Caenorhabditis elegans: one gene and its partner. The protein of the gene in region 1 purifies or fractionates together with the protein of each later gene. This does not show direct contact. Each region holds a gene or a part of one and is shown on either strand. Other genes may lie near its edges. The genes, in order: T28C12.6 and ZK849.6.

The links.
Region 2: the proteins of T28C12.6 (region 1) and ZK849.6 fractionate together in Caenorhabditis elegans (co-fractionation; one large-scale study listed by BioGRID). This does not show direct contact.

The regions. Positions count from the first base shown.
Region 1 is NC_003283.11:6,330,250-6,346,581, forward strand, and holds T28C12.6 (WAP domain-containing protein), read right to left. Parts: upstream 5,871-16,332; 5' UTR 5,866-5,870; coding exon 5,787-5,865; intron 5,706-5,786; coding exon 5,612-5,705; intron 5,563-5,611; coding exon 5,492-5,562; intron 5,439-5,491; coding exon 5,249-5,438; intron 5,221-5,248; exon of another isoform or gene 5,149-5,220; intron 5,068-5,148; coding exon 4,943-5,067; intron 4,889-4,942; coding exon 4,747-4,888; intron 4,069-4,746; coding exon 3,999-4,068; 3' UTR 3,765-3,998; downstream 1-3,764. Other genes in the region: T28C12.2 (Major facilitator superfamily (MFS) profile domain-containing protein), read left to right, coding at 3-143, 189-542, 586-736; T28C12.1 (Major facilitator superfamily (MFS) profile domain-containing protein), read left to right, coding at 1,692-1,835, 1,884-1,952, 2,192-2,485, 2,538-2,806, 2,851-2,991, 3,037-3,390, 3,606-3,759.
Region 2 is NC_003279.8:14,186,163-14,201,098, reverse strand, and holds ZK849.6 (NADH dehydrogenase subunit 1), read left to right. Parts: upstream 1-1,962; 5' UTR 1,963-2,091; coding exon 2,092-2,109; intron 2,110-2,233; coding exon 2,234-2,356; intron 2,357-2,408; coding exon 2,409-2,465; 3' UTR 2,466-2,488; downstream 2,489-14,936. Other genes in the region: best-26 (Bestrophin homolog 26), read right to left, coding at 447-584, 633-757, 819-878; gopc-1 (Golgi-associated PDZ and coiled-coil motif-containing protein), read left to right, coding at 12,204-12,302, 12,806-12,904, 12,969-13,079, 13,126-13,446, 13,507-13,640, 13,699-13,837, 14,250-14,414, 14,463-14,563.

The DNA of each region.
Region 1 (16,332 bases):
AGAATGTCAACACCATTGACCACTGTTTTATACGATTGGAAGGATAGTGATTCGATTTTGTATAATGGAATTACATTGGCCTTGAGTTGTATTATTTCAGTAATCTTCCATGTGTTATTGGGTGCAAGTAGAATTGGAAAAATGTCGGTGAACTTCTACAGTTGATTTTTTTATTTCAATTTTTGCAGTGACAAGAGGAATCAAATGTTGATCGGAATTTTCGTATTTCTGTTGTACCAGGCATTCATGTATCCATGGGGATTCTACTCGGGACCACTGAACTTCTTGCCTCCAGGTGTTGAAACTACCGAAGTGGGAGGATGCTTGGTAGAATATCATTGGTGTCAGGAAACTACCAGGGTCCCACTGTCCGTGTATCTTTTCTGTTTTATTGTATTCTTTGGAGTTGCATTTCCATTTGTGGAGACACCGTCCGCGGCACTTTATTCGGAAGTTCTTGGTCCAAGGAAACAAGGCACGATGCAGGGATTTTTCTCACTCGGTGGAAGTATTGCTCCAGTTATTGCTTCTATTTCTTCAACGTAAGTATTAAGCTCCGCCTAAAAATTCATGTTTCATTTTCAGAGCGATCTTCAAATATACGGGTTATCGCTACGTTATTGTACTTCAATCAGTATTTCTTCTCGTTGGAGCGGCACTCATTTTAATATTTTACAAGAGACTTGTCCCATTGAAAGTTATTAAAAAGTCAGAAGATGAGAAGATTTCCAATTGAATGATAATTATAGCGTTTTAAATTGTTGATTTTAGTGTTTTCTAATTTGTTGAATTTTTGAGTCTTCAATATAATATAATGTAATAAAATCACATTTGTTTTTCAATTGTTATACTTCATATCTGAAATCCATTTTTTGCAAATCTTATAGTTATATTAACACTTTTCTTTGAAAAGATATTAAAAAATTTAAAAGTTCTAAAAAATAGACATTCCAATTTTTAGGTCTGAAATTTTTTTGGCGGCTTGGAGAAAAAACATTTTCAGAAATTAAAAAAAAAAAATCAAAAACTGTAATAATGTCCCCCATTCCCCTAAACACCCTAAAAACATTAAAACTCGTTTTTTAAGCTTTTGGAGCAATTATACGGGTCTCGGAAATAGTAATGCACTGAAAAATTTCAGAACTAAATTTTAAATGTTGAGAACGGAATATTGCCGCTCAAAATTTTGCATCTACATATTATTGGTAAAAAAAATTCAAATGGAACTAATGTATATGTCTCGTTTTTAAGTTTGAAGGTAAAACCGTTTTCTTGTAAGTTCTTTTAAAATCTTCATAATTGAAAATTTAACAAGCGAACAAATTAGATATTTAAAAAAGTGGCTTTAGTTTTGATGTCATCAAAATTTTAATAAATCACAATAAACACTTACACTGAACCTATGTACATGAATAAGAAAATATACTAAAATAGACAGAGGGTTCAAAAAATTCAAAAACAATAAATAATTCATATTTCCATAGAATAGTTATGATCATGTATTCCTAGATTTCTTTTTTAGAACAGGTTGAAATGTCAAATCTATTAGAAACCCGCATTTTGTAGTGTTAACGAAAATTGACCGCACAAAATACTGAAAGAGAGCGATTATTCAGATGATGTTGTGCTATATAAACACCGGGTAGTTGTCTATAGTAGAATTCATTCTTCGCATCTCCCTTATTTTCAAAATGACGCAGATCATTCTGTCCGAAAAGATTGAAGCCGAGAAGCGAACAGATTGGAGATCCATGTGGATTGCCATTGTTATGCAGTTTGTAGTAGGTGTTCAAATTTCTGTATATTACATGTCAATGTGGCCATATTTGAGTGGAGTAAGTTTTATAGACAATATGGAAAGTAAAAAATTTCAAACATTCCAGCTTGATAAAACAGCAGATTTTGATTTTCTTGGGTGGGTTGTTGCGTCTTGCAGTATTGGTTGTACAATTGTAAGTTGTTTTTTTTTTATGGTTTAGTTTATATTGGAGGGAAAATTCAAAAATTATCCTCAATCAATCTTTTGAGAAAAGCAATTTTAAACTGATATAATACTTGTCTGTAGAACTCCCAGTTTATATTCAAATCTTTGAATTTTTTTTTCAGAACAGGACAATGTAAATATTAGTTACCACATAACATAAACATCATGAAATTACATGCATATATTTTAACTTTATATTTATTCCAGGCTAATCCAATTTATGGATACTGGAATCAAAAGACAATGTCTGTGAAATGGCCTGTTATCACTGGTTTCCTAATAGCAGCTGTTGGTCAATTATGGTACGCACTTTTGGGCTTTTTCGGAAATGTGAAATGGTTCATGTTATGTGCTCGATTCTTGACTGGCCTTGGCGTTGGAAATATAGCAGCTCTTCGAGTTTATGCAGCAATGGCATCTACGCCAAAAGACAGAATGAGAGCCATATCTTTCGGGACCGGAGGCTTCGTTCTCGGTTTTTCATTTGGACCTGTTATCTCGGTAAGGCTCCGTTAACAATTTTTTATAGTGAAGTAAATTAATAATTATTTAGTCAATCTTCACTCCACTCGGTGAAGAAGGTATCCAATTTGGAGGTTTCATTTTGAACATGTACACAATTGTCTCTTACTTGATGGTTTTGATTTGCCTGTCAGCTTGTTTGGTTGTATACTTATTCTTCAAAGAAAGTTACGCTGGAATAGTGACAAAAGAGGAAAAAGAGAAGGATGAAGTGGAAGTTCCAATGTTTGATATCCCAGCTTCCCTAATTTGTATTTACCTTTTCATGATTGTCAACATGACTGCGACCAATATCGAAGTGTAAGTGAACTTATTTCAAACAACGATGTAACTTTTCTTTTAAGAATGTCTTCTCCTTTGACCACAGTTCTATATGACTGGAAGGATAGTGACTCAATATTCTACAATGGAATAGCACTAGCCATTAGTAGTGCAATTTCAGTGGCATTCAACATTGCTCAAGGATCAACGCGAATCGGAAGAATGTATGTTAACCGGAGCCTTGAAAATTTGAAAACGAATTTTTCCAGTGACAAAAGGAAGCAAATGTTATTTGGACTAACATTTTTCCTTCTCTACCAGCTTTTCATGTATCCATGGGGATTCTACTCTGGACCTTTGAACTTTTTACCTAAAGGAGTTGAAACAAAAGTCGCCGGAGGATGTTATTCGGAGTATCTCTGGTGTAATGACACAACTCGTGTTCCACTTTTCATATATTTATTCTGCTTTATTGTTTTCTTTGGTGTTGCGTTCCCATTCGTAGAGACACCTGCTCCAGCACTGTTCTCTGAAATCTTAGGGCCAAGGAAACAAGGCACAATGCAGGGATTCTTCTCGTTCGGGGGAAGCCTTGCCCCAGTTATTGCTTCTATTTCTTCCACGTAAGTATAAGAAAAACACCTTTTTAAAATTGGTTTTATTTGTAAGCATCGCATCTTGCTTTTGGGTTTACCAAATTGTGTTTTATTAACATTCAAATTAAAAGTTAATTTTGAAGTCAGTCGCCAAAATTAAAATCTTTAGACGTCAACGTAATTTATGCTTCCAATCTTCTAGATAAAAAAATTTATATTCCTCACATATAAAATATTTTCAGAGCAATATTCAAATACAGCGGGTATCGTTACGTGATTGTTCTCCAAGCATCAACTCTTCTTGTTGCCATAGTTTTAATTTTGATATTTTACAAAAGACTAGTTCCACTAAAAGTGGTCAAGAAGTGCAAAGATTCGTCATCGTCAATGTCATGAAAATACTTTTTTCTCATTCATTCATGTTTTTTCAATTCTAAATGTAGTATATTCTGATATAAATTAAATTCTTCTCGAACAAAACAGACACACTCGGATAAAATAAATGGGCACAAAAAGGAAAGAGATGAATGATTCTGAGTAGAAATTTAGTAACTGGTTCTGCAGAGAAAGACCCCAATAATGAAAAAAAGTTATGGTATTTACAGACATAATCATGATTCTGATGACACTTGAGATTAGGCGATGATCCACTTGTCATTGAACTTCATTACACACGTGTTGTATCCGCAATTTGTGGCGCAGCATCTGAGATTTTATGAGTTTCCAACAGAAAAACGAGGGGCTTCGTAAAATTTCAAAATCAATAATAATTGCGTTAGCTAAAAATGTGTTGTTTTTTCTTTCTTAGCTTCGTGCTCAAAGTACTATGCATTTGTGAAATTCAGGTTAAAAAAAGTATTTCAATAAATGAATAGAATTATTTTTTAAGTATTATTTTTTTAAAGAAAACAAATTGTTTGTGTTTTTATGCAAAAAAATATATATAGTTTTTAAATAATTTTTTAAATTTATATACCACCCAGACGCAAAGTTTTGCAATTTTTGAGTCAAATATACGCTTCCCGGTCTCGTCACGACAAGTTTTTATCGAATGCAAAAATGTCTGCGCCTTTAAAGAATAATGCAACCTCAAACTTTGGTTCTGCGAATTTCATGATTTTTTTCAGATTTTTTCTTACAATTTCTCAAAATTAATGTTCTTGTTTTGTTTTATTTTAGTTGTTGAATATACATATTTCTGTCAAAAAAACTATGAAAACGCAACAATGAGAGTTAAGAATTACAGTAATCTTTGAAGACGCACACCTTTTTGAATTCGGCGCCAGCAGGAAAAATCCTTTTACTAATCGAAGAAAAAAAACTTAACCGTTTATAAAATTTCGAAAATCAAATTTATCAAATTTATTCTCAGAAATAACTCACTTTCTTGTGTACAATCCACTACGGCAATCGCTATCAGTATAACACCAATTCGAACCTCTAGCTGCCACACATTTTACCCCTAATTGGTATGGATCTGGACATTGATCAGGTGTTGTAGCTGCTGTCGATAATGATTTGAAGACTGGAAGTTAAGGGAATTTTTTAAAAGCTGCAAGCCAAATGCTTATAGACTAACCAACGCTTCTTCTTGGGTGATATACTTGTGCACCAACGTGTACACACATGTTATAATTACAGCCAGTTGGACAACACATTGAAGCAGTGGTAGATCCTCCCCGACAGTCGAAATCATTGTTACACCTGCAAGAACAGTCTCTCTTATCATTCCTTATCTTTTCCGTAGAAATTTGTCTTATCGGCTAGCAAGTCAAGTTTCTTTCGTGGGGTATAGCTCAGTGGCAGAGCATTCGATTGCAGATCGAGAGGTCCCTGGTTCAACTCCGGGTGCCCCCTAAATACTTTTTTGCCTTTTAAGACCCACCAGTTCACACTTCTCAATTTTCTGCAGTTGATGTTCATAGATGTTACAGATGGGCAGCTAGCTTGGCTAGGATTCGTGCAACACGATCCTTGTTCTAATCCATTTGTGCATATCGTTCCTGATTCGCAAGATGTGGAAGTCATACAAGAATGGAAATAGTTACGACATAATGGGAGGGATCCAACAAGATCTGTAATTATGAAATTAATGGTTAGAGTAGAAGAATTTTCAAAAAAAACTAACCATTGGAATATGACCGAAAAACGTTAAATTGTGGGTTCACATTGTTACTGCTAGGATTATAACTGTTGAACCTGAATATAATAGTATTAAGAAGTGTATAATATTTTCTTAATTTCCCACCTAAAATTGTTTGGTGTGTCGTAAGATGGAGGATTGAAAAAACCAATATCCTTCTGTGGTTTAATAATGTGTCCACATTCTGATTTAGCTATTCCTAAAAAGAAAATAATTGACCTCAAAACTGGAAAATTATTTTTAAAAAAGTAATTGCTTCAAATTATTTAGCTCTACTCACCAAGTTTTTCATAATAATCACAAAGTGTCATGTGCTGTGATCCGACAACTGTGATACCAACCAACAGCAACTGTATCATTTCCTGAAAATATTAAATGAACGGAGAGAGATAGAGTTTTAGCAAAAACATCGCGAGAAGCAAGTAAGTTGTCAACATTTAAATGGTAAGTGCGTGAAAAAAATAACTTTTGAAAAAACGTGCTATGTGCTCTCTGTGCCGCCCGCCCCTTCCCTCTTGGCGCTTTTGTTTGTGTCTGCGTCTCTTCCTCTCACACACTCTCTAACTCTTTGGTCATTGGATTGTCTTGGTGTAACTGAGTCTGTCAGGCCAACACAGGCAGACTGGAAACAACATGAAAGACGATCCGGAATACGCAACGTGTGGATTCACGTGTGTTTACCGTGTCCATTGGCACCCAAATGTTTTTGTTTGTACTGTACTGGAAAGCAACGGGGTGCGGGTAAGCACAATAATATGGGATAAACTGGAAATTTGCGGGCTTAACGTACTTGTGCGCATAGTAAAGAAAATTCAAAACAAAATTTGGGAGGATTTGAATAAAATGGGAAAAATTGAATATTAATAAGATTTACCAGATGTCCTTTTGCAGAGGGGAACCTGCGAAAAAGCAAATAAATGTTTGTTGATTCGGACATAAATAGAGATTTCGAAGGGCAATTTTTTTGGAGCTTGATATGTTTTACCAAAATACAATGGTTAAAGATGTAATTTTTAGGGATTTCGACTCGGGGAGGTTTTTTGAAAAATTTCGAACACTGAATTCTTCCGAAGTAAGAAAAACAACATAAAATGTGGCGATAAAATCAAAGCGGTTAATTTTAAACAATATTTTGTGCTTCATTACTTCAATTTTTAAAATGAAATTAATCATTCAAATTTGATTTTAATTTTGGTAGCTTCATACTCAAAAATTTTTTAATATTTCTAATTGTACCAAATTGTAGAAAATATTATAAAAGCCTGAAACAGTATTTTAATTTCTGATTTACTTTATTTGAACAATTTTAAAACCAAAAGCTTGAAGCTTGAGAAAATTGGAAAGTAATATTTTATGCAAAAATTGTTCTACAAGATAATGGGACATTCAAAATTTTCAAATGGAAAAATTCATCAAAAATTTTGTTAAGATTATGATTTCAACGATATAAACGATAGAATAATATTTTAAAAATATCAAAGCAGTTAATAGCATTAAATTACTAATTGGAAAATAGAAACAATACAAACTTAAAAAAAAACAATTTTGAAAATTTTATAAAACAAAGTCGCATAATATTTTAGTTTTTGAAACTACATGCATTTATAATAATCAATAAGCAAAAAATTTAAGCTGAAAAGGCAACTGAGATTCATGCCAGAAAATGAAAACTTGATAACTCTAGAATGAAATGTTTCACGGAATGAGGCGGTACGTCCCATCAACCAACGTGATCCGGCTCATCTCAACAGGCGGTATTATACGTCAGAAAAATGAAAAATTAATCGTCTTCTTAATCTAATACAGTCATTAGGATCATAATACGAAGGTGGCAATAATTGGCCGAAACGCAAACAGCGGCTGCGGAAAAGGAGCGAGAGACTGTGCCAATCGGTTTGTTTCCGGTGATATAGGCGTCAACTGGTCTTTGGGGTGCTCTGGGCTCCGCGAGCAGCTCACCGTATCAAAATGTGTGAGTGCCCTTCACGCGATTTAGAGCAAAAAACACCGATTGGCTCAGAGATAAAGAGATATGAAAGAATGATAAATATATGCACTTTGAAGTGGGGGTTCAGTCTAAATACAGTGATCAGATAGATGTATTAGAAATTAATTAATGGAAAATGAGAAGGGGAGTGCTTGAAATGGGAGTACGTATGTTTTTGAAACTTTCAAGCCGGATTTTAAAATTAATTTTTCCTAAAAAAAACATTGAGCATAAATATTAAAACCTAGTTTTTCAATTTAAATTAGCAACATCGCTTGTGATGAATTTGCATTAAAACGCTCCTATGCGCCACAAATACCAAAGTAAAAAACAAATCAAAAAACTTTTCTAAATTTTTAATTCATTATTTGAAAATTGGAAAAATTTCAGGTTTTCCCTCAAAAAAGCGCGGTAATTCAAATTTGAATTAGAGGTAAATTGAAAATTCATCCATTTTCAAAAAAAAAATTAGATGGATTATCTTGTAGGGTGTCTTAAACCAATTTTCCCAATTCAGCTACTTTGTCAATTTGAGGTATATTTAGATTACAGCTTACCGTCAGATTTAAATAGTTATTTCTAAAATGAAAAAGAAATAATTCAATTCGCATTTTTAAAGCAAGCTCAAATTTTAAAAATTGTACATCAATGAAATTTTAAATTTGTGAGCTTTTTGGTCTCTACTGGAGCCCTATTTATATGAAAAGCGGTGCATTTTGTGAGGTTCATTGGTAACAATCTAGAACATGCTAGATTCATTGTTCAGTGAACATTTGAGCGTACGATTTATAAAACAATCCAGTACAAGTGTACAAGAACGGAGTTTCAGGTTCTCAAGCCTTGATCATTCACGTATCTCGTCGTTAGACGTGTTGATCTTTGGAACTCTAAAATTTTTCTCACGGGTCGGGGATTATCGGAATGGGGCGGGGGAGGTGCACAACGGTAATTGATATACAGGAAACGGCACGGCAAGACGACGGCCAATGTGTTGCATGTTTCACTTCTTTGCTACCCGAGGTGTGAAACGAAAGGAGATCGTATGCGCTGCGGATCAGAACAACACATGAGCGTACGGGAGGAGGAGGAGGGAGCACCGGCATCTGTATGCAAAGAGCAATAAACACGATATACAACACATTTTTGAGTTGTTGCCGACTGATGTTAGAGGAAAATAATGTTGGAATCATCGAGAGTACAAATAAGAAATTGAGAGAGAAAATGAAACAATTGAGATTGAAAAAAAGTTTCCGGAGGAATTAAAGAGAAAATATTCAGTGACGATTGGGGAGAAAAAGGTGAAAACAATTTCAGATAGTAAAATATTCGAAGGCAATGTATAGTGGATTAAATCAAAATCATATTTCAGTATTCAAAATTAGACCAAATAGGTCCAAAATACAGTACCATAATTCATAAAAATGAGATTTTTGGTCTCTAATAGTAGTGCGCTAGATGTTCATAATTGTGTCTAATAGTCAAATTAAAACCAATTTTTTTGTAGATTTCAAACACATGTTCATAGAAAATGTTTTTATATTTCAAAATGTTTATCGCTCACGAAGAATGAATTCGAGAGATTAAAAAAAATTTTTCATAATTTTTCAGACGATTGGAATATTACAGTTTTAATTATGAATTCGGAATACGTTTATAAATTTTTTTGAGAACTTTTTTTCTATGATAAAATGCTCATAAATGTAAATTAAGCTGCCAGACCAATTGAGCCAATGAGTGGCGAACGGCAGCGTTTTATGGCACGGAAACATGCACAGACCGAAAATGGTTTGTCTTATTGTTGACACACCAACAACGACGACGACGACGCTCAACCCATTCACCTCTTTTGTGTTCGCGCCGGCGCGCCCGGATTCATCTGTGTTCTTGATACATTGCAGTCAGCACAGACACGTGAAGCTGGATAGTAGCGGGTGTACTGGACTCTGAACCTGATCATACAGATCAATTTGTCGAGATGGAAAAAATGACTACACATTCACAAAAGACACTTGTCGACACATTCCTTAGATAGGGAGAAAAAAATAAAAAAAATTTTGAAGAGGTGCGCAATTAAGTTGAATATGTACAGATTTTGTCGAATTTAAACTCGCTGGGTGCCCAGGTCTGTCTTGAAAATGAGAACTATTTCCGAGAGTAGCAATTGCAATTCCGGCAATTTCGCTGATTGCCAATTGCTGTTCTTCAAAAAGTGAGACATCATGAAAATACAAAGCTTTTTTTCTAAATTTTCCTAAAATTTTAGAGCATGGTCACAGTATCTCAAACCTTGAATTAGATAAATTATGTCAAGTTTAAATTTTTAGATTTTCGAAATAGAGTGGAGTTTGATAGTTGCCGGAATTACCAGGAAAATACTACATTATTTTTTCCGATTGTGGCGAATTTTCCTGATATCCTGATATAAACAGGTTGTCTAATTGAAGTTGATATTGTGTTAAATTTTTTGTAGTTTTCCAGAGACGATCTTTTTTACCTGAAACCTAATGAGTCTTCTAACTTTTTCCCAAAAGTCAAGTTTTGTTTCTCATTTGGCTCATGATGTTGCAATCAGTCAGAATACATGATCTCTGTTTCAGTGCACTTTTTAGCTTTTTCGTATAGTAGCCGTTGAAGAGAGTTAGTTGTCGAAAGTGGAGCACACGCGCGGGCTGATTAATCTCAAAGCACTCGGATAAACCAAAAAAGATGAAGAAAATAAGGAAGAGGACAACAAGGGCAAAGGTGTGGATAATGATGTTGATTATTATGTGCATTATTATTATTAGTAGAAGCCGAGTCACAATTCAAATTTTGAAAACAATTAGTTGTAGTTTTGGAGCTTTAGTTATCTCAAGCTGATAACAAAGTTACTATAAATTTTTAGAAATTTAGCAACTCTAAGAAATATGTATCTATTTTCTAAAATTCTGACAACTTTGATACATGATTTGGGTACTACCATACATAGATCTGCGCAAAATAATGTAAGTGAAGGTGATAAGAATATTTTCACTGTTTTATAAACCTACACTAAGAAAATCGGAACTTGTGGATCATTTTCTATGAAGTAGTCTAAGTCGACTTATTGTTTTAATTTGTTCAAAGGATTTTTTATCAGCTTGTTATCAATACAACCTTTTTTAATTTGAACTTTCCTTCTTGGGACGATAAAAATCCATGAACCTGTCATTGAATAAAATTCTCCCTTCCAGATTGAGCTCTGAAAAGCCAATGCTGAAAACTTCTTCAACAAATCAGTGAGTTCTTTTTCTTGCTTTGCATTTCTTTTTTATTGGTTGGGAGAGATGCATTGGTGCCCACTCTCGGATCAGCTGACGTACTGCTTCGTCGTTTTTTTATTTCTTCCTCGAGTGTCCACCCAGTTGGTCGTCGACTGCTTCTCCTTTTTTGCCATCATCATCATCGTCCTTTTTCTTCATTTCCTTTCGTTTTTCCATTTCTTCCTTCCCATCCAATCTGGGCTTTCAACCCGAATGTCGCCATGCCTTAAGAAGTGGTCGAGTTGAGAGGCCACTGGCCGAAACTGAAAAGGGAAAGAGACTTAGAATGAAACAGAAAGCCTCCAGTGGTGACTGAAAAGGGAAGAGAAAGAGACGTCGAGAAAGAAGAAGAAAAAAAACGAGAAAATAAACGAAAAAATGCACACCGCACATAACATGACAGCACTGGCAGTTTCGAGTCCACAACTGCAGTGTTGACGGGTCGCCTCTTCTGGGAAAGGGTCCCCCAGTTTTTTGCTGGACAACCACACACTTTTGCCACCTTTCACACCTTTTTAGTGGGCATTCTTTTTGTTACTTTTTCGTTTTTTTTTTCTTGACTTTCTTGTTGTTGGAGAAACTAAGACTTTCTCATTCAATTCTACCGTAATCCCATGCACTATACTCGTAGATCAGAACACTTTGTTTTCTTGACTTTGGAAAATTGGAAGTGCACATTTTTCAAGTATACAAGTAATTACTAGCTTTGGTCACACTAAACTGGCAATTGAAATGTATTTTTATCAATAACCCAAGGGTTGTATCAAACAGAGTATCAGTGCGTTTTCATGGAATCTAATGATCATTCCAGGTTTTTGTGATTTTATTTTCAAAAAGTATGGAAGCCACGTGGCAGAATTTACTGAACAAACATTTAGGGATCCGCGATTAGTAGACGACAATTTGAAAGCAATCGCAAACTTTAATTTTTTTTCGTTTCAAATAACAAAAAACGTTCAAATGAAAGCTAATTTGAATTACAACGAGCTAATTGAGATTCTAAATTATTTTTTCAATGATTTGACAATTGACAGTGTGGAAAACCACTCGATCTGTTTGTCGACTGTTTTTTTTTTAAATAAAACAGCTCTATTTTTTCTTGAACTTTTTTGTTCGCCGTTAAAGTTTGAATTGAATTTCTTCACTAAAAAGTATGTATTTCTTCAAGACAAAGTTTTTTCCACATTTATAGTTTGACAAACTAGAAATATTGCCCTTTATTATTCAAGTTTCATCCAGTGCTTACTATTGCTCAAACCATCAATATTTCTAAGGAGCGCTGAAATCACATTTTTGAAATTATAATCGGTCTCCAACTAGTTGGCTCCGAAATTGCATCAATTGGGTGATATGAACAATGTCCATTTATGTTCATTCATTAATTCACCTCGTGATTCATATTTTTCAACCATTGCTCCCTTTCTGCTCACTTCTAATACTTCCCTGACTTGCTGCTCTAATCCTGGCCTCCCAAAGGACATGTTCTTGGTCGCCAGGCTCGTTTTTTTTCGGTCTTTTCTCGTGCATGTGTTCCTCGAAGCACTTCTGAAATCTTCATGGCGTGGAATGCGGGAGCTCGGAAGTTTTTTGTGGGTGTGTGTGTGTTTGTGTGTGTGTGTGCGTGGACAAAAAACGCGGTCAAACGAGCGGACCCATGCCGACCGGGAGAAGTTAGGCGGGAAGCCTGGAGACGCAGAGCAAAACAGCTGCTCGACGATGTGCGTATTATGTGTAACTGATCGAAAACACATGCACAAAATAACGGATGAGGAGCGGAGGAGAAGATGGTAGAGCTGAGAAAAGAATAAGCCTGAGATCATTTCCCGCTCTGAATTGCACATCTGGAAAAGAAAATGGGTTATGATGATGGGACAACCAACGTGTCCGAAAAAACATAGACCCTTTAAAAGATTTTACTATTCTAAGCCGGATAAAACATGATATCGATGTCAGTATAGAGCTAGTAAGTTGTTTGTTTGTAGATTCCTAGAGTTGAGCGAACAAATACAATCATATCCAAGGTATCAACTAGGGCTTCCAGGCCAGTAGTCCCACAAGCCTGTCTGGTTATGTTCGCTTTGTCTTTTTGGATTTCGTGACGGGTTACGGATCTTCAACAGCAGGTAACTGTTCAATATTTAGGAATTCCGTAATTGGAAGTTGACTTAGTGGTTGATCTATCAACTTTTCAACCCTTAACTGAACATGCTCTAATAATATATTTTGCAAATACAGAATAGCAATTAAAGTCTACAGAGAAACTCATATTTGACTTCGTAGTTTGAGCACCATTTCACTTTGACCTACTGGTCAAACTATCAGTTGAAAAACGTTCTATTGCCACCTTCACCTTGAATTGTTTTAATAAATTATATCTTATCTAAAACAATTTCTAGTTATTTCGTTGTGTTGATCATAAAGACAAAGTTCTCCGTTTCTTTTTTAACTAAACAAAAGCCTTTCTGTGCATTTTCAAGAACTTGGTCACTGCCTTCCATTTTTTTTCGTTTATTCTTTCTTTCTGTTAGGGTCATTTCTTAGTGAATCATCGTCAACCTGACGTGCCCATTACATGTCTCTCAGAACACCATAAAAAACCTTGTCTTCGTCAGAATTTGTTCCGTCTTCCGTTTCAGCAGCTCCCTTTCCATTTCTTTTACTAACCCTTTTGCTCAATACACATTTGTGTTCGCGTCCTCGTTTTTTATATACTATGTGTGTCGCAGCCGCACGAGAGGCGATTGCACGAAAAAAAACACAAAACAACAACAACACGGCAGGGCGATGAAAACGATGGCAGTGTGAAGAAACCGATCCTAGGGGACGAAAAAAGGGAACAGACGCACGCAAAAAACAACATATGACCATGTTGAAAAACGGGCGGCACATTTCAAAAATGCCAACAAAAAAACAACATTAAAAAGAGCAAGATTTGACACAGAAGATTTGGTCACCGAAAAACCAAAAAATTAAACTCTTAAAATTATCGAGTTTTTTTGGCAAACCTCTATGTTGAAGCCTTTCTTTGAATGGAATTTCAAAAGTTAAAAAAAAAACTTTAAACCGGTAATACTTAATTTTGACTTTAAGAGCTTACATACTACCTACAAACTGCTTTTGTCTTTGACTTTTGTTCAACTTTCCACTGATCTCTTAAACAATCGGAAATCTAAACTCTAGAGGCTTCAGTGAAGAATCTGAAAATAGATGCTAGTATATGTAGAATTGTTCTTGAAATATGATATCAATCTAGATATTCCAGACCAAACCCGACTAGCCTTCACATTCATATTGTAGTATATTTTTCAAGATGGGAACGAAAGTTCATGTTTAAAGTTTCGTGTTTAGCACGTGCTTTTGATGCTTCAGAATTCATATTAATTTTTCTTCACTGCAACGTTCTATTCAATAGCCCTTTCTCTCAAGTCAATAGGAACCTCCACCAAACACCGACACTTTTCAGAGGGAATACCCAGAAGATGTCATGCATTTTTGATATTTTCCGATTTCTCCAGGAACCTTTGATAAACACTTTTTTGAGCGACTTGTTTTTTCCTGGATAGCCATCTATTTGTTTTATTTTTTTTTTCATTTTTTTTTCGAAGTCTCAAAACAAATTGGTCTGATCCGGGGAATCATCAGCTGTCTATTGGTCCGTCGATCTATTTCGTGTTTTTTTTTGCGGGCTGGCATCTGTTTTTGAGTCCCTTCGGTCACATGCTTCTTGTTCTCGCTCCTGTCCTATCAACATGAACTGACCGACTTGTCGTCCCTGCTCTCTTGGTTTGGTTTCACATTTCCGACCCACGACAGTGAGGGACCATTGTTGGCGCCCGGGGAGAGAAGCTCGTCGCAGGCGCGAGAGTACATGGTTCCCGGGCGGAAGAAAAAACTGACGACCGCGGTTGCAGGAGGCGAGAAGCGGCCCTTAGAGCTGTGCTCACTCTATTGGTTATAAAAGAAACGCGAACTATACAAAAAGAAGCCGACGAGAGAGTGATGAGGTCGATGAGATGGCGACAACCGGCCAGCCGGGGGCGCCCCGAGCCCACCTCCTGTGTTTTTTCTCGTCTTTCTTTTTTGTGTGTGGTCTCGGCGGCCCGTCTAAGCGCGGCGCCGTTGCTCCAACATCCTCTGAGGCCATGGATGTCGTGAAGCTGAAGGGCGCGGCTGAAGAACGGAGAACGACCGACTATGTTGTGCAGATGTGTGTGTGTGTTCTATTTTTCCTTCTCTAGACTGCTTCTTCTTCCTTTGTTTTTGCTTTCACTGACATTTAAAGCTCACCCATTCTCTAAAAAATTGTTCACTCTAAAAAACATGATCACTGTAAATTATACTATTATCACAATTACAACACATTTTAAAATCAATTTTTAAACTTATCAAACATGCGCCAACTAATAACAATGTATTATCAGTCAAATTGTTTTTTGATAAAAACTTGAGATAATGAAAAGAGAAATAATCGAATGAAACATAATTTGTTGAAGAATCATTATCTTAAATTTCGAATAAAAGCTTAATCCGACCATTGTTAAAGTTCAATAATTTTAGCCCATTTTTGTTTAACTTATATTGGGTGCAAATCTATTATGACTATCAATCTATCCTTATCCCTGATTTCCCATTCAAGTAGCTCTTGTACAAAAAAGTCATTTATATTTTTCATATGTTGTTGTTGTTTTTTCATGTGCAAGCTAAAATAGAAAACGTTCTGACTAGTCAGCTATAAATAACACGCAATTGGCTTCATATATAGCTGAAAAGCGGAATCCTTGTTCGATAACTTTGACCTGGCGGTCTTTCTCATTGTCTTTTCAATTTTTCTTCTTTTCGAACCTTTTCTCTTTCTCTATCCCATGATCATAAAGTGAACCGAACCTTTTTTTCAAATTTGAGCTGTCATGACGTCTTTCGTCAGCGGTGCCCACCCAAACCCAGGATCATCATCTTCTTCACCTTTACGTTTCAAGCATCACGCACCTTCTTTTTCTTTTCTCTCTTGAAATTCCCTCACATTGTCTTCGAGTTTCTACTGCTCTAGGGACCATTCACTTGTTGTTTCGTGTGTATGTCTGGCGGTTGTTGGGCGGGGAAGGACCACTGAGAGAAAGAAGAAATGACAAAAAGTGCAAAAAATGAGGTGCGAGGTGGGAAAGATGTTTCCTATCAACACCTGCTGATCCAATGGTAGTCGATCGTTGGCAAGCTTCCCAAGGCCAGTTGTTTAGTGTATAGCATGTTTCATGTATCGGACACTTGATGATTTCCGGATGGTCCTCCTCTTTCTCTCTCCTTCGTCCATTTTTTTTCTCGTTTTTCTCTCTATTTTTTGTGTTGGTTTTTTCTCTTTTTTGCTCCCCTCTTGCTCTGGAAATTTGATCCCGTTGCCTGTGCTAGCTAGTCGTTTTCGAATCTACCACGCCTCCAGAAGATGGAGAAGGTCCTCCGGGCAGCAAATTTTTAGTTTACGATAGTATCGCGAAACATGATATCGACGAGACCCTCGGTGGGCAGTAGGCACACGCGGAAAAAAAAACGAAAAAAGAGAGAGA
Region 2 (14,936 bases), on another chromosome or scaffold:
TTTAATAATTAACAATTTTTGATAATGTCATTCAGTGCAGAGTTATGAAGGTTTAAAGTTGAGCCGCAATATCACTGTGGACATCACAGTGGGCAGGAGTGTACTCTTTTTTCAAACCCTAATAACTCCGCGTAGAATAAAAATACCAAAAAGTTATCAACTGACAAAATGTAGAAAATTTTCCGCTCTACATTTTGTTAGTTAACAACTTTTTGATATTACTATTCACTGCAAAGTTATGGAGGCTTGAAGTTAAACCGCAATATCACTGTGTGCTGGAGAGTGTTCCATCTTTAAACCCCAATAACTCCGCGCAGAAAGGATACAAAAAGTTATCAACTGACAAAACGTAGAAAATTGTTCGCTCTACATTTCACAAGTTGACAACTTTTTAGTAACTTAGCTTTCAGTGGAATTACAAAGGTTTCAAGAATGCCGCAATTTACCTCTCAATATATGCTAAACTGTCCAGCGACTTTCTCCACCGATCCACCACACTAGAAACGAAGAAACCAAGCAAAAACTCCAAGGGTATCGTAAATTCCTGATGGGACAGCAAGTTTTCGACAATTTTTCTGATTTCACTGAAAAAAAGCTACATTTTAAAGAGTTTTTCCAGCGAAATCACTTACCGTTGACCTCCGCTCTTTGGTAAAACAAGTCGATAGATCACCATAAATAAAAAATACAAGCCAAGAAACAAACATAACTCTTTAAAAATCGCTGTAAATAAATTTCCTTTCCTTTTGAGCATAATCTGAATTTTTTAAACTTTAAGTAAACATTAATAACATTTTTGTCTAAAACTGTTAACCTACTTTGAAAAAATTGCGTAGAGCATTTCCAGTTGGAACATCTCGATAATATGGAACAGTCATCTGAAAAAGAGCGGTAACTTTGCCAAAAATTGAGATATCAAAAAGTTGTCAATTAATAAAATGTAGCAAATTATTTGTTTTACATTTTGCTAGTTGACAACTTTTTGATATCTCTTCCAGTTTCTAAGGTATGCGCCTTTAAAGTTGACAGCCGCTAAACTCACATTTTCCAACAGAAAGGTTAGTTGAGGAATGTTTGATTTATCGATTTTAAAACGTTTTTCAAAGTTTGCAACGTCAAAAGTTCCAAATATAAAAATAAACTCACGTGGAAAGTTTTAAAATTTAAAACTTAAAATTTTTTTGAAATTTGAAATTTCGCGTGAAAATCGAGTTTTTATTTTTTGGAAAATTGTGGGTCCCGCCACGAAAACTCATGGGGTACTGTAGGTATTGCACATATGCGGATCATATTTTACAAATATGCTAATCAGTATTTGAAACATACTGTAAAACAAAATCAGTCCAAAAACTTGAAAATTGACAAAATTATGAAGCTTTTAATTTTTGAAATTTTGCAAATATTGAAAACTTGCGTTCCGCCACGAAAACTCATGGGGTACTGTAGATTTTATAGGTTTGATTTTTAAAATTTTGCAACAAATTAACAATAATTTTCTAAACATTTTGAACTAAAAATCTCTTTAAAATATAAAAAACTTTAAACAGTTATACAATTTCAAACATTTTCAAAAAAAAATGTTGGGTCCCGCCACGAAAACTCATGGGGTACTGTAGATTTTTGAGATTTAATTTTAAAAAATTCTGTATCAAATTAACAATGATTTTCTACCCATTTTGAACTTAAAATCTCTCAAAAATCTAAAAAACTACAAATGCAATGTAATTTCAAACATTTTCAAGAATTTTTTAAATATTTTTCGAGTCCCGCCACGAAAACCCATGGGATACTGTAGGTTTTTAAGTAGTAAATGGCAAAATTTATTCAGTTATTGCTAAAGCTTTAATGCAAGTTTTAAGCCTAAAATTAGCTTTACATCTAAACAATTGAAAAAGATACGGAATTTTGAAAAAAAAATAATTTTAAAAAAGTGTTTAAATTTTTTCATTACGTGATAACTTTTTTGAAGTTTTGAAATTTGGAAGTTTTTCTTCAAATTAATCAATCAAAAATCAATACTTCAAATATCGATTTTTCATTCATTCCTTCCATTTTTCACTTTTCGAGGCAAAAAATCGAATCCGGTAAACCATGGTGTATTCCAATCAAGTAAGTGTTTTGATTCAGATTTCCAGTTTTAAAGCTGAAAAACTTGATTTTTCACCTAAAAATGTGCTAAAAATGCTACAAATATGCTCCAAAGCCCCCCAAAAATTCAATTTTCTATTTTCAGAAGCTCGCTTGGTTCGACTATTTGGCCTCTCCGATCATTCTTTGCTGGTATCTCGGAGTCTTCTCCGCATTTTTGCTCTTTGTCGTGAAGCCGTGTATGATTCCAAAGGGATCTGCGAAACAGGTATGAAATTTCAGATTTTTTTCAGAAAAAAAAAGTTTTTTTTAAATTTCAGCCATTCATGTACTGTGGGGAGAAGCCGTACAACAACCCAGCCCTCAGAGTTCGCTAGAAAATGAAGTTTTGTACTCAAATGTTATTTTGTCTGTTTATATGTTTGTTTTTTTGTATGCACCGAAAATTTCATAGTCTTCCGATGATTTTATTCTAACATGCAATTAACAATTAGGTGTGTGCGGAGCGGTCGCGTCGCGGGCGCGTCGCAGTCGCATCGCGGCTAGTTTCATTTTTTCAAATTGCCATAACTTGCTTCATATTTGAGCTAGAAGCCTGAAATTTTTGCAGGTGATTTTACAGAGCTAGGACTTTCATATTTAAAGTATTTAAATTTTAAATTCTTCCGCGTTGCGGTCGCGAATTTACTCTTCCAAGAATACAGACTCAAAATGTTTCCTTTCAAAAACAAATTTCGGACCCTGGAATTCCGGTTGTATGTTTTCCACAAAACCCCCTCTCTCTACTGTTAATCAAATTTCGCCTGCGCCGGCTCTTCCAGTTTTCTAATTAGATCAACGCAAACACACCATGTCTTTTTTTCTGGAGTATATACATACATGAAGTATAACACATTTTGAAAAAAATTGAACCGCGACGCGGCCGCACCGCACCGGAGAAAGTAGGAGGATCTAGTTTGGGCAAATGAAGGATATTAGGTAGAAGACTCAATCTGAAAGTTTCAGAGATTTACCGTTGTTAGCATCCAAGTTATGGCTGCTGGAACTCTGAATTGAACCGCGACGCGACACGCGACGCACCAAAATTTTTTTATTGGATTCTAGTTAAAAACTTGGAGAACATCGAAAATCGAATAAGAAGCACAATCTGAAATTTTTAAAGCTGCACAGTTCTTGGTTTTCGAGTTATGGCGACGTGTATTTTTCCGTGAGCCGCGACGCGACCGCGACGCACCCGTAAAACTTCAAGTGACCATTACTTCAGTAGAAGTGCATCTAAAAACCTGAAATTTAACGAACTAATTCAGTACTATGTTTAAATTATTTTTGCATAAAAATAAAAATTGAACCGCGACGCGACCGCGTTGCATGCCAAGAACTTCAGCAAGCTGTAACTTTGTTCAACTTAACTTTAACGCACTGAAATTTTTGGGGATTATTGAAACTCGTAGGAACCTGAAAATTTTCAGCATTTTCCCAAAGAAACTCTATATTCCAGTCAGAAAATTACAATTCCCTGCCCCCATGCTAAGCCACCGGCGGGATCAAGTGCTTAGTGGGGGTCACCACCTCCATCAACACTTTTTGTCACTTTTGAGACCCCGAGAAGCCGAAAATTTGAGTTAAGAGCTCTTGAGAACGGGAAAATTTTGGAGTAAAAAGAAAAAAAATACATCCATTTTTTGAAAAATTTTCAGGAGGAGCAAGTCACGCACACCGGAGAAGCCCAACCGAAGGTTCTAGAAAAAAAAAACGGGCGGACAGACACAAGTGTCTTCTTCTTCTTCCTTTTCTTTTACTGCTCCTCTTCCGCATAACAAGTGGCTGCTCCCGGAGACACCAGAAAATTGTGAATTTTCCGGAGCTTTTTCCTGTTTTTATTGGGCATTTGTAGGATTTGATAAGCGGAATATCGGAGCATCGTACTGGAAAATTTGCTTAATTTTTCTCATTTTGAGTAATTTTTCAAAAACGTTTTACCAAAACTTGCTCTTTCTGTACATTTTTCCACAGCGGCATTTCGGAGCATTGTACTAAGCCACGCCCACGTTTAGTACGATGCTCCGATAATACGATGAACTGTTTTTTTTTATTTCCAATTTTCTTATAGAGTTTCAAATATAATTTGACTGTATTTTCCGCTAATTTTTACTAGCGGAATATCAGAGCATCGTACTAAAAAGGGGCGTGGTCGGGTACAATGCTCCGATATACTGCTCATCAAAACTACTAAAAATCAGCAAATTGTGATGTTTTATTGCAAAAAGTTAGAGCAATAGTACCTCAACCCTTAACAAATAAGATTCTCAGTTACCGGGAAAACGGAGCGTCGTACCAAGCCACGCCCACTTTTAATACGATGCTCCGATATTCCGTTAATCTTAATACATTTTTTAAAACTCCAAACATTTCTTACAATTTTTAATTTTTCCGTAAATTTGGACTAGCGAAATATCGGAGCATCGTACTAAAAGTGGGCGTGGCCTAGTACGATACTCCGTTATTCCGATACTTGAACCCAAATGCAATTCCTAATGTGAAGGGGAAAAAGCTCGTAAAACTAGGATTAATGTGAATTTTGATTTTCTTTTTCAGAAATCTTTTCATTTTTTCATTTCTTACCCATTTCACAACGATGCTCCGATATTCCGGCATATCGGAGCATCGTACTAAATAAATTTTCTTTCAGGTATTACAAATGTCAGCACCTCATACAAGGCACATGTGCTCCGGATGTCGGAAAGTTGTGGTGAGTCTGGCGGAGCTCCAATATTCCCAAAAGCTTAGGCTTAGGCTTAGGCTCAGGCATAGGCTTAAGTTTAGGCTTAGGCTTAAGCCTAGTCTTGGGATCAGGCTTAGGCTTAGGCTTAGGCATAGGCTTAGACTTAGGCTTAAGTTAAGGCTTAGGCTTAGGCTCAGACTTAGGTTGAGGCGCCATTTACGTTTTTTTTGTAAAATTCTCTTCTGAAAATTTGAATTTTTTTTCAAATTTTCAACAAACGGAATATCGGAGCGTCGTACTAAACCACGCCCCTTTCTTGGTTGGACACTCCAAAATTCCGCTATCTAGAAACCTGCAAAATTTTCATCGAAATTCCACTAAAATCTATCTAATTACAGTGAATAGCACTACTTTTCACGAATTTTAGACCTGGGAACATCGGAGTGTCGTACTAGGCCACGCCCCTTACGACACTCCGATATCCCCGTAGCCAGTTTCCAATGTTTTCCGAGTTCTCAAAGTCTCTCGGGACCATTTTCATAACCAAAACTTGTCGCTTTTGAATGTTTAGAAGAGCCCCCCCCCACGCCTCCCCATCTTTTCGATATCTTCTTGCTTTGTGCTCCGAGAGCCCACCCCATCCTTTTTGTGTCCCATTTTGGTGATGTGGAAGCCCTCTTCTCCCGCGGACAATTAAGCACGGACTTCTTCGAAATTCCTCCCTTTTGTTGATTTACTCTTCAACTTTTAAAATGCTTTTAAACTTGAGTTGTTTAGTACGTTGCTCCGATATTCCGCTTGTGGAAAAAATTTGAAAGTTTCGAATTTTTATTAATTTTAATTAACACTTGACTGTGCACCTTGTGCCTTAAAAAATGTGACCCTTTTACCTTGAAAACTGAACATTTTGGTAGCGGAATTTCGGAGCATCGTACCAAAAAAGGGGCGTGGCTTAGTACGATGCTCCAGTATTCCGCTGACTGCCGAGTTTATTTAAAAAATTATATATGAATCTTAGTGCAAAAACAACTGAGCTTGTATCTATATTCAATATTTCGACAGCGGAATTTCGGAGCATCGTACCAAAAAAGGGGCGTGGCTTAGTACGACCGATTTTTTCAAAAAGTTGTTTTTTTCAATTAACCAAAACAACACCACGCTGTATTTTTTCAGTTCGAAGTCTGATTTAGGCAAAAGCCAAAAACTTTCCAAAAACTTTTGGCACATTTCCAACCCCGCCCCCAAAAACGTGTGTTTGGCTGGTGAGCTCCAGCCGTCCCTGGTGTATTGTTGTTCCAGGGGTGTCGCTGAAGGAAAAAAAATGCGATAAGCAGGCTCTTTTTTCCGGATTTTTTTTATCTTTTGGGCGGCTTTTCAACTAGTGGAATTTCGGAGCGTCGTAGTGGGCGGGGTTTAGTACAATGCTTTTATATTTTGATAATTTTTGAACGTTGTACTTTATTGATAGATTTTCTCAAAGTTTTGAAAAAATTATTAATGAAATAATTGACTTTTCTACAAGCGGAATTTCTGAGCGTTGTACCAAGAAAGGGGCGTGACCTGGTACAATGCTCCGTTATTCCGCTGGAGAGTTCCAAAAAAATAAATTCCAAAAATTTATCAGTTTTCAACTTTACAAATTTTTTAGAACATTTTCCAAACAAAAATTGCCAATTTTTTGCTCAAAGTTGATTTGTTTAAGAGCGGAATATTGGAGCATCGTAATAAGCCACGCCCACTACGATGTATGATGCTCTGGAATTTTGATGAACTGATTTTTTTTTCAGACTTCCAGTTTTTATGAGCTTTTAGTGTTTCAAATATAATTTGACAGTATTTTCGGTTAATTTTAACTAGCGGAATATCGGAGCATCGTACTAAAAGTGGGCGTGGGCTAGTACGATGCTCCGATATTACGCTCATGAAAACTGTTAAAAATCAGCAATTTATGATGTTTTTTTGCAAAAAAATAGAAAAATAGTACCTCAACCCTTAAACAAATAAGATTCTCAGTTACCGGGAATTCGGATCATCGTACTAAACCACGCCCACTTTTAGTACGATGCTCCGATATTCCACTAGACTTGATTAATTTTTTGAAATTCTTAAAATTTACTGGCGGAATATCGGAGCATCGTACTAAAAGTGGACGTGGCCTAGTACGATACTCCGTTATTCCGCTGGCTGGAATTTTCTTGTAGTTTTGAAGTTTTGAGCAACTTTGATGATTCTAAATGAAATTTTATTGAGAAACACCGCGGAATTTCGGAGCATCGTACCATGAACCAGGCATGGCCTAGCTACTCAAAAATTTCAAAAACGTTCAGCGGGATATCGGAGCATCGTAGTAACAAATGAACAAAGTCCTATCTGTCTGGCGGCACCTAATTTGCATATCTCAAGTACCTTCTTCTCCTTCTCCAAAAAAAAAACTTTTTTGGTTTTTTTTCGGCTCCGCCACCCCAAAAAAAATGCTAAACTTTCTTCAGTTTTCAACCAAAATCTTCCCGTTTTCCTCCTCAGAAATATGATCTCCCATGGGCGTAATTGTGCTCTTTTCCTATCCCCGTCTTCTTCTAATTGTTCATGCTCAGCTTACACGGAGCATCTCGCTCCAAAATCTTTGGGAAAAAAATGGGGTTGGATTGATGGATGGGTTGTGGCAGGGACGAGGGGATGTATGTATGTATATGCCAATATGTCACTCTGGAATTGGGCAAGGATGGGTACTATAATATATTGACTCGTTGTACGTCTTTTCCAATTTTTGGAGCTGTTTTCCAAGTAGATTTTCCGTTCCGAAAATATTTTTTCAGTTTACTTTAGGTTTGTTTTCCTTTAAAAAAATTATAAATGACGTCATACTTGTTAGTGATGTGCCATGAGCAAAAACTCAGGTTTTGGCTGAGGCTTACTCGGCATTTGGAGGCAACTTCCAGCCAAATTATGGCAACTTCCTGCCAAGTTTTGCTTGTTTCCAACTTCCTGCCATATTTTGCCAACTTCCTGCCAAATTTTGGCAACATCCTGCCAGCATGTAGCATGCATGGCTTTGGCAACAGTCTGCCAACAGTCTGCCAAACTTCGGCATCAGCTTGCCAACAGCCTGCCAAACTTTTTGGCAACATTTACGGTAAACATGACGCACTGGCGTAATTTCGGAGCATCGGTGCTTTACAGCCGAACTTCAAAATTGAATTTATTCAAACTTTGCGGTGGAACTATCGAATTTCGAATTTTAAAAAGCTAACAGTGATAGAAAAATTAGTAGCTTATCATAAAATGAAAGCAAAGTGGGAATAAGAACGCATACTACACGAAAAACGAAGTAGGATAACTTCATGTCGTCGCGGCTTCTGAATTAATGTTGTAAAACATGTTGTTAAGAAAACCCGACTTGATAGAACGAGCTATGCAAAATTGTTTATTCTTTGAGAACAGTTACATCAACTTGCTTACAATAGTCCTTTACATCACCATGTTCTAGAATTACATGTTGGGCATTTCAGAGCTACTTATCTGTGTTTACCTCCTTGAAACTATTTTCTTCAACATTTTTTTACAAGTTTCCATTGGATTTCATATTTGAACAACTCTATTCTACTTTATCTTGCGCGCGGGCATAGCTTAGAGGTTAAGGAATTGGGCTGACAGTCACAAGGAGAAGGTTCGGGATCTGGTAGGGCAGAAAAAGGGAAACATGACAGTGCAAGTTGATATCCAGCCGATTGGACTAATTCAAAAAGTAACGTTTTTTTTTCTAATTTTACCTTGTTCTGGTTGAATCGTATGTATGCTAAATTCATTTTATTGATCCCCTTAATACAAAAATAACCATAATCAGTTGAAAAAAAACGAAAAAAAGAATTTTTACTGACAACACCTGGGCAACTTCCTGCCAACTTCGTGGCAACTTCCTGCCAACAATTTGGCAACTTATTTTAGTGGCACTAAATAAGTTGCCAGGTTGTTGGCAGGAAGTTGTCAAAGTGTTGCAGGAAGTTGCCTCTGAATGCCGAGTAGGCTTAGGCTTAGACTTAGTCTTAGGCTTAGGCTTAGGCTTAGGCTTAGGCTTAGGGTCAGGCTTACATTTAGGTTTAGGCTCAGGCTAAGCACCTAGACTTGTTTCTGTCTAGAATTGAATAATTGTGATATAGAATTTTCTTAAAACTAGGAAATCAACTTAGACAGGGTTTTTCTCAGCTTGTTTGTACGATATTTAAAAATTTTAAACTACAGAATCATAGAAAAACCGAAAATCAATTTTTTTGTCAGTTGACGAATTTTTGATAGCACCAAAATTAGCCGAGATATCGACTGTCAAAGTCAGTTGATTTGGTGTCGATGCACCATAAGCAGAGACTAGGTCACCATACTTCGGAATTTGATTTTTATAAATTTTTGGATTTATACATGCAAAAATTGTAAAAAAAACATGTGATCAATATTTATTCAGTGCTGAACCTATACTCTTTATATATTTAATTAATTTATAACACTTTCAATTAAAAAAAAAAACATAAATATTCGTTGTAAAATTATTTTTAACAATTTGAACAAAAAAACCATTTTTCGTAACTCAGTGAGGGGGAGGACAACCGCCGAGCGAGCGGGAAATAGATCAAACTATGGATAAGACATCTTGTGTGCATAGGAGCACCTAACAGTTTATGTAGAAGTTTTCTACATTTTTGGTGTTAAAATTTTTTAATCTATGTATCTATGTATGTTAATCTATGTATGAGCTATCAAATGAGCTATCAAAGATGAGCAAAAACTTTTGGACATGATGCATTGAAGGCTGTCCCTGTTTGAAGCTTTTATCTGTTTAGCTTTTTGAAAAACTTTACAAAATACCTTGTTTTAAGACATGGTGCATATATCACTGATGTCTTTTGTTTTATCAGGCAGCTGACAACTAACAAAGTATTTTTTGAAACTTGCAAATTGAGCCGAAATATAAGACATCTAGAAAACTTCAATTATGGTCTTGTTGAAAAAAAAAGAAGAAGATGATCTTCAGCCATCATCACGTTTAGCCGAAACGGAACTTTTGCGTTTCACATTTCCTCTCCCGCTCCCCCCGCCACCGCTGCTTCGACTCCTTAACATAATTTTCGGCGCACCCCGTACACGGAGACAATGTGATTTGGCGAACCTCTCTCTCTTTCTGTGTCTCTAGCCTTTCTCACATGGCTCAAGCCAAGGGGGGGGGCTCATCTTACTTCTTGATCCGCTTTTTCGACTCTGCTCATAAGCTCAGTTTCGAGTGGAGACTATGTTCCAGGATGGTGGTTATTCTCAGAGTGGCTCACCGACATGGCCCGGTTATTCTTATACTCAATTTTTAGAGCTTTTCATTTCAAATGTAAGTTTATTTTTAAGTTTCAAAATTATATTTCAAGCCCGACGGGCTCCAGAATGCTGAATTTTGTTCCAGATATTCTTTGGAATTTAACTAGGCTTGTAGTGAAGTCCCGTAAGCTTGTGGCTCTAATAAAAAGGGACCGTAGAGAAGCCCAGATATTTAAAATCTAAAGGGAAACTGTTTGACCAGAAGATTAGAGCCCAGTTGTCTTAGATTAGCCTAGTAAAAGTCCGGAAGCCCAGAACTCTCAAAATAATTACGAGCACCTGTAGCCCACAAGTGCCTAATTTCTGACTGTCAAGCTTGTCGACCCGTACTGTCAAGGAACTTTGTCCAAGCTCAGCTAGGCCCGTTCAAGCCCACATGACTGTAAACGCATTGGGATTAGAAGCCAGGATAGGATATACCATGATCCAATGCACCATGACCCCACGGAACCAGATAGTGCCTCCATTTACCATAATGTACAAAAAAAATTCAGCCTTCTGATGGTCCCGTCATACTTTTAGGCAAGCTTGGGCTCTCAAATGAGCACAAAATCCCAAAATCCCACTTTGTTTTCAACTCATTAGACGTTGAAAAAATGGAAAAATCAAGCTTCCTCCATTAAAAACCAATTCCAAAAAGGCGACTCCAAATTGAATTAGCTTTGCGCAGAGAGCATGCAGAGGAAGTCGTTCAGATGAATAGTGGTCAATATAAAGGAAGCGGGGATAATAATTATCGGATACTTTTCAACTACTACCGCTTGTTAGTGTTCGGCTAGTAATAGAAGTGCCAAAAAATCGTCGAGTGGAATTATAGCGTGTTAGGTCGTAAGGGGTAGAAACTCAAAGAAGGTGGATTCCTTTTAAAAAAAACCTTAAAATCTTGTTAGATCGGAGTAGCTTCATCTTAGGTTGGAGTAAAAATTCCACATTCTCAGGCCGGACTAGAAACCCCATAGGTCGAACTAGAAGCCTAATAGGTCGGACAAGGACTCTGCGGAGTATAACCCCCTAGTTCGGTAAAGAATAATCTTAGGTCAAAACAGTATCACTTTAGGTCGGAGTAGAATCCGCTTAGGTCAAAGTAAAATCTCGAAATCTTAGATCGGAGTAGAATTCTAAAATCTCAGGTCGGGGTAAAGTTTTTTAGGCCGGGGCAGAGTCTCAAACTTTTAGGTTTAGGGAGAACCCCTTGGGGTTGAAGTAAAATTTCATTAGGTCAAAGTAGGCTCCCTTTAGGCCGGTGTAGATCCTAGAGCTCCTAGATCGGAGTAGATTTCTAAAGTCTTAGGTCGGAGTAGAACCTCAAAAGTTAGATCGGAATAGGACCCTAAAAACATTAGATCGGAGTAGATTTCTAAAATCTTGGGCCGGAGTAAAGTTCTTTTGGATCGGAGCAGAGCGTCCTTGGGTTGAAGTAGAATCTCATTAGGTCAAGGAAGGGCCTAGAGTAGATCCTAGAACTCCTAGATCGGAGTAGATTTCTAAAGTCTTAGGTCGGACTAGAACCCCGTTAAGTCAAAGTAAAACCCTATTAGGTCGGATCAAAACCATTCAGGTCTACTTAGCACCTATAGGTCAGTGTAGAACACCCATAGGTCGGAGTAAAACCCCCAATTTCGTAGTTAAAGTAATTATCGTATACTTTTCAACTGTGCAACAAAGAGGGAACAAAAATGCGAAAAACTTTTGATTTGGTGTGAAAGTATACCCATTGACACACACACACATGAAGCTCCCGGAATTGGGGTCCCTCCTCTCTTTTTCTTCGTCCTCTTCCACTCTCTCTCTCTACCATTCCCACCCCATTTTTTTTCTTAAAAACGAGCGAGGCATCTTCTTATTCCTCACAGAGCCCCCCGACGCCTTTCTCTAGAAAAGACGGGAAGAAAACGACAATTGGATTATCCGGTGTCCCCCGACGGCTCTTTTCCACCCTATTCCAACAAACACACACACACACACACCCAGTTCTCCACACATATCATCATCATCATCATCATCATCATCACCCCGAAACTAGTGTTTTACTAAAAAAATGAGCCATTGTGCGGCTTGCTCTGGCGCCAGGCTTCAGGCCCAGACTGTGCTTAGGGTGGACCCGGAGTCTGAGTATTTTGAGTGTGAAGCTTCTGCGGTGAGTGATTTGGGCTTTCTAGGTTCTAAGCCTAGTCAAGCCCGGCTTTTTTATCCTCTTGGTTTGAGTCTACCAAGCCTAGCTAAACCCGGATCCTTGATCCATCCGTTCTTGGAAACCAATAATTCGAATTAGATTTCCCATTGACTAGCCTAGACTTATGAAGCCTATCATTGTTGAGCTAAACTAGGCCCGGTACCTTGAAACTTCCCGCCTAGTCTGAAACGACAACTGACTGGACCGGGCCCTTTTCAGCTTAGCCTGAATCATATTTATCCAAGTATTTGCCCATTTAGGCCCGAATTTTTGGTCCGATCAGCTTATCTTATTCCTTATTCCAAATCAGGGCTCTTTTCACAACAGTTTGCTCAGCTAGGCCATATAAGCCAGAGCCGTCAAATTTTCTAATGACTAGCCGGGATCCTTGATCCTTTCAACTCAGCCAAACTTTGATCGGAACCCTGCCCTCCCCTTGATTACCCCTAAAACCTCAAAATTTCCAGATGGAAGGTGGCTCAGGATGGACAGAATCATTGGAGAAAGACTTCGACAAAGCATTCGTCTCACTGGATCTCCTGCTAGGAGAAGTCGACTCGGACCAGGTAAGAGCTTAGAACTTCAGGCCACCTGATCAAGCCCAGGTCCACAAAATCCTAACGTATCCAGGTTGAGATCACCTACGAGGGCCGGCAGAAGATGACGTCATTGAGCGCCTGCTTTGCACAAATGATGCACAAGTGTCAGTTCATGATGCACACAATTAGTAAACAGGAGAAGGTGAGTTTAGGCTTGCTGAAAAAAGTTGGATTGTTAATTTTTTCAGGAAATGATAACAATGCGCGCCGAGGTCGTGGAAGCCCGCGCCGCTCGACAGAGCATGGAGAAGGAAGTGGAGCAGTTGATGATCCAAGTTCACTCATTACAATGCCAACTGCATTCCAAGACGGCGCCGCATGAGTCAGACATGATTAAGAAGAAGCTGGAGACCCAGCTGACACAGTTTCGATCAGAGCTTACACAGGGTTTGAGCACGGTTTGTGAGCTGGAAATTGCAAGAAAGGAGTGTGATCGGTCAAAACGGACGATTCAGGCCTTGGAGACTGAGGTCTTCGGGGCCAGGCTGGCGGCAAAGTACCTGGATAAGGTAGGCCATCGGGCTTTAAGGCTTTAAGGCTTCAAGGCTTTACATACCCTAATCTTCCAGGAACTCGCAGGCCGGATACAACAAATCCAGCTCCTGGGACGAAACATGCGCGGCGTGGAGCACGACAGGCTCTGGAACCAGCTGGAAGCCGAAATTCACCTCCACAGGCACAAGACAGTGATCCGGGCTTGCAGGTAGGCGGTCACGTTTCCCATGGCCGCTCCCCACTTGAACAATTTGCCATTCTTGCAGAGGACGGGGTAACACGAAGGGATTAACGGCGCCACTTCGTCACAACTTCAAGAGCCTCCGAAAACGAAATGGAGTGGGAAAGAGCAGGAAAGTGGTGCTCTCGAAACACCCGCACGAAGGGCTCGGCATTTCTATTACGGTAGGTGGGGGGACTTGGATGGTTTTGGGCCAGTAGATCATTGACTAGACTTGTTCCTTTGGGGATCCACGGGATCCTGTAAGATCTGAGAGTTGATCCAGTTCCCGTAAGACCAAATGTGCCATCTGATTATGAGGTACTTTTGCACGTGGTGTCAGGCTGTCCCATTGCGGTTTGATCTACAAAAAATGCGGGAATTTTTCTCCCAGTCAGTTGAAAAGTCTGCGTCTCTTTTCCCGCATTTTTTGTAGATCAATGTAGATCAATCTAAAATGAGACACTCTGACAACCCCTGCTTTTGTAGTTCTGCTGCATAGCTCAAAACTACTCCAGATAGTTTGCGGAGCTCCGGATGGATCCTAGTTCTTCAAGATCTTAAAAAATCCTACTGGATCCTAAAATCCATTTCCAGGGAGGATCCGAACACGCTCTACCCATAGTGATATCTGAAATCCAGCCGGGACAGCCTGCTGACCGATGTGGACAGGTCTTTGTGGGCGACGCGATTCTCTCAGTAAACGGCTACGATCTTCGGACTGTCAAGCATCAGGAGGCAGTGGATATTTTGAGTGGGCAGGTAAGATGCTGCCAGGGGCCCTCCACCTACATCCCCTCCAAATTCCAGGTACAGCAAGGCGACCTAGACCTGGAGCTCGTCTTTGTGTGCCCCGATGAGGATAGTGATGATGATGGGACGGTGACGATCGAGCACAGCGATGGATCTATGTGAGTTATTGGGAATTTTTCGGCGGGAAATTTGAATTTCCAGTTAGTTTTTAGCGGGAAATTTAAATATTCAATCGATTTTCAGCTGGAAATTTTGATTTTCTGTTAATTTTTGGCGGGATTTTCATATTGCCAGTTAATTTTAGGCGGGATTTTTAAATTTCCAATTGATTTTGAGCTAGAAATTCAAGTTATAAGTCAGTTTTAGGGAGGAAATTCAAATTCTCAGTTAACATTTAACTGGAAATTTAATTTTTTAGTTAATTTTTCAACTGGAAAATCAAAATTTTGGTCATTTTTCAATAGAAAATTCAAATTTTTTGTCGTTTTACTATAGGAAATTCAAATTTTTAGTCAATTTGCGACAAAAAAT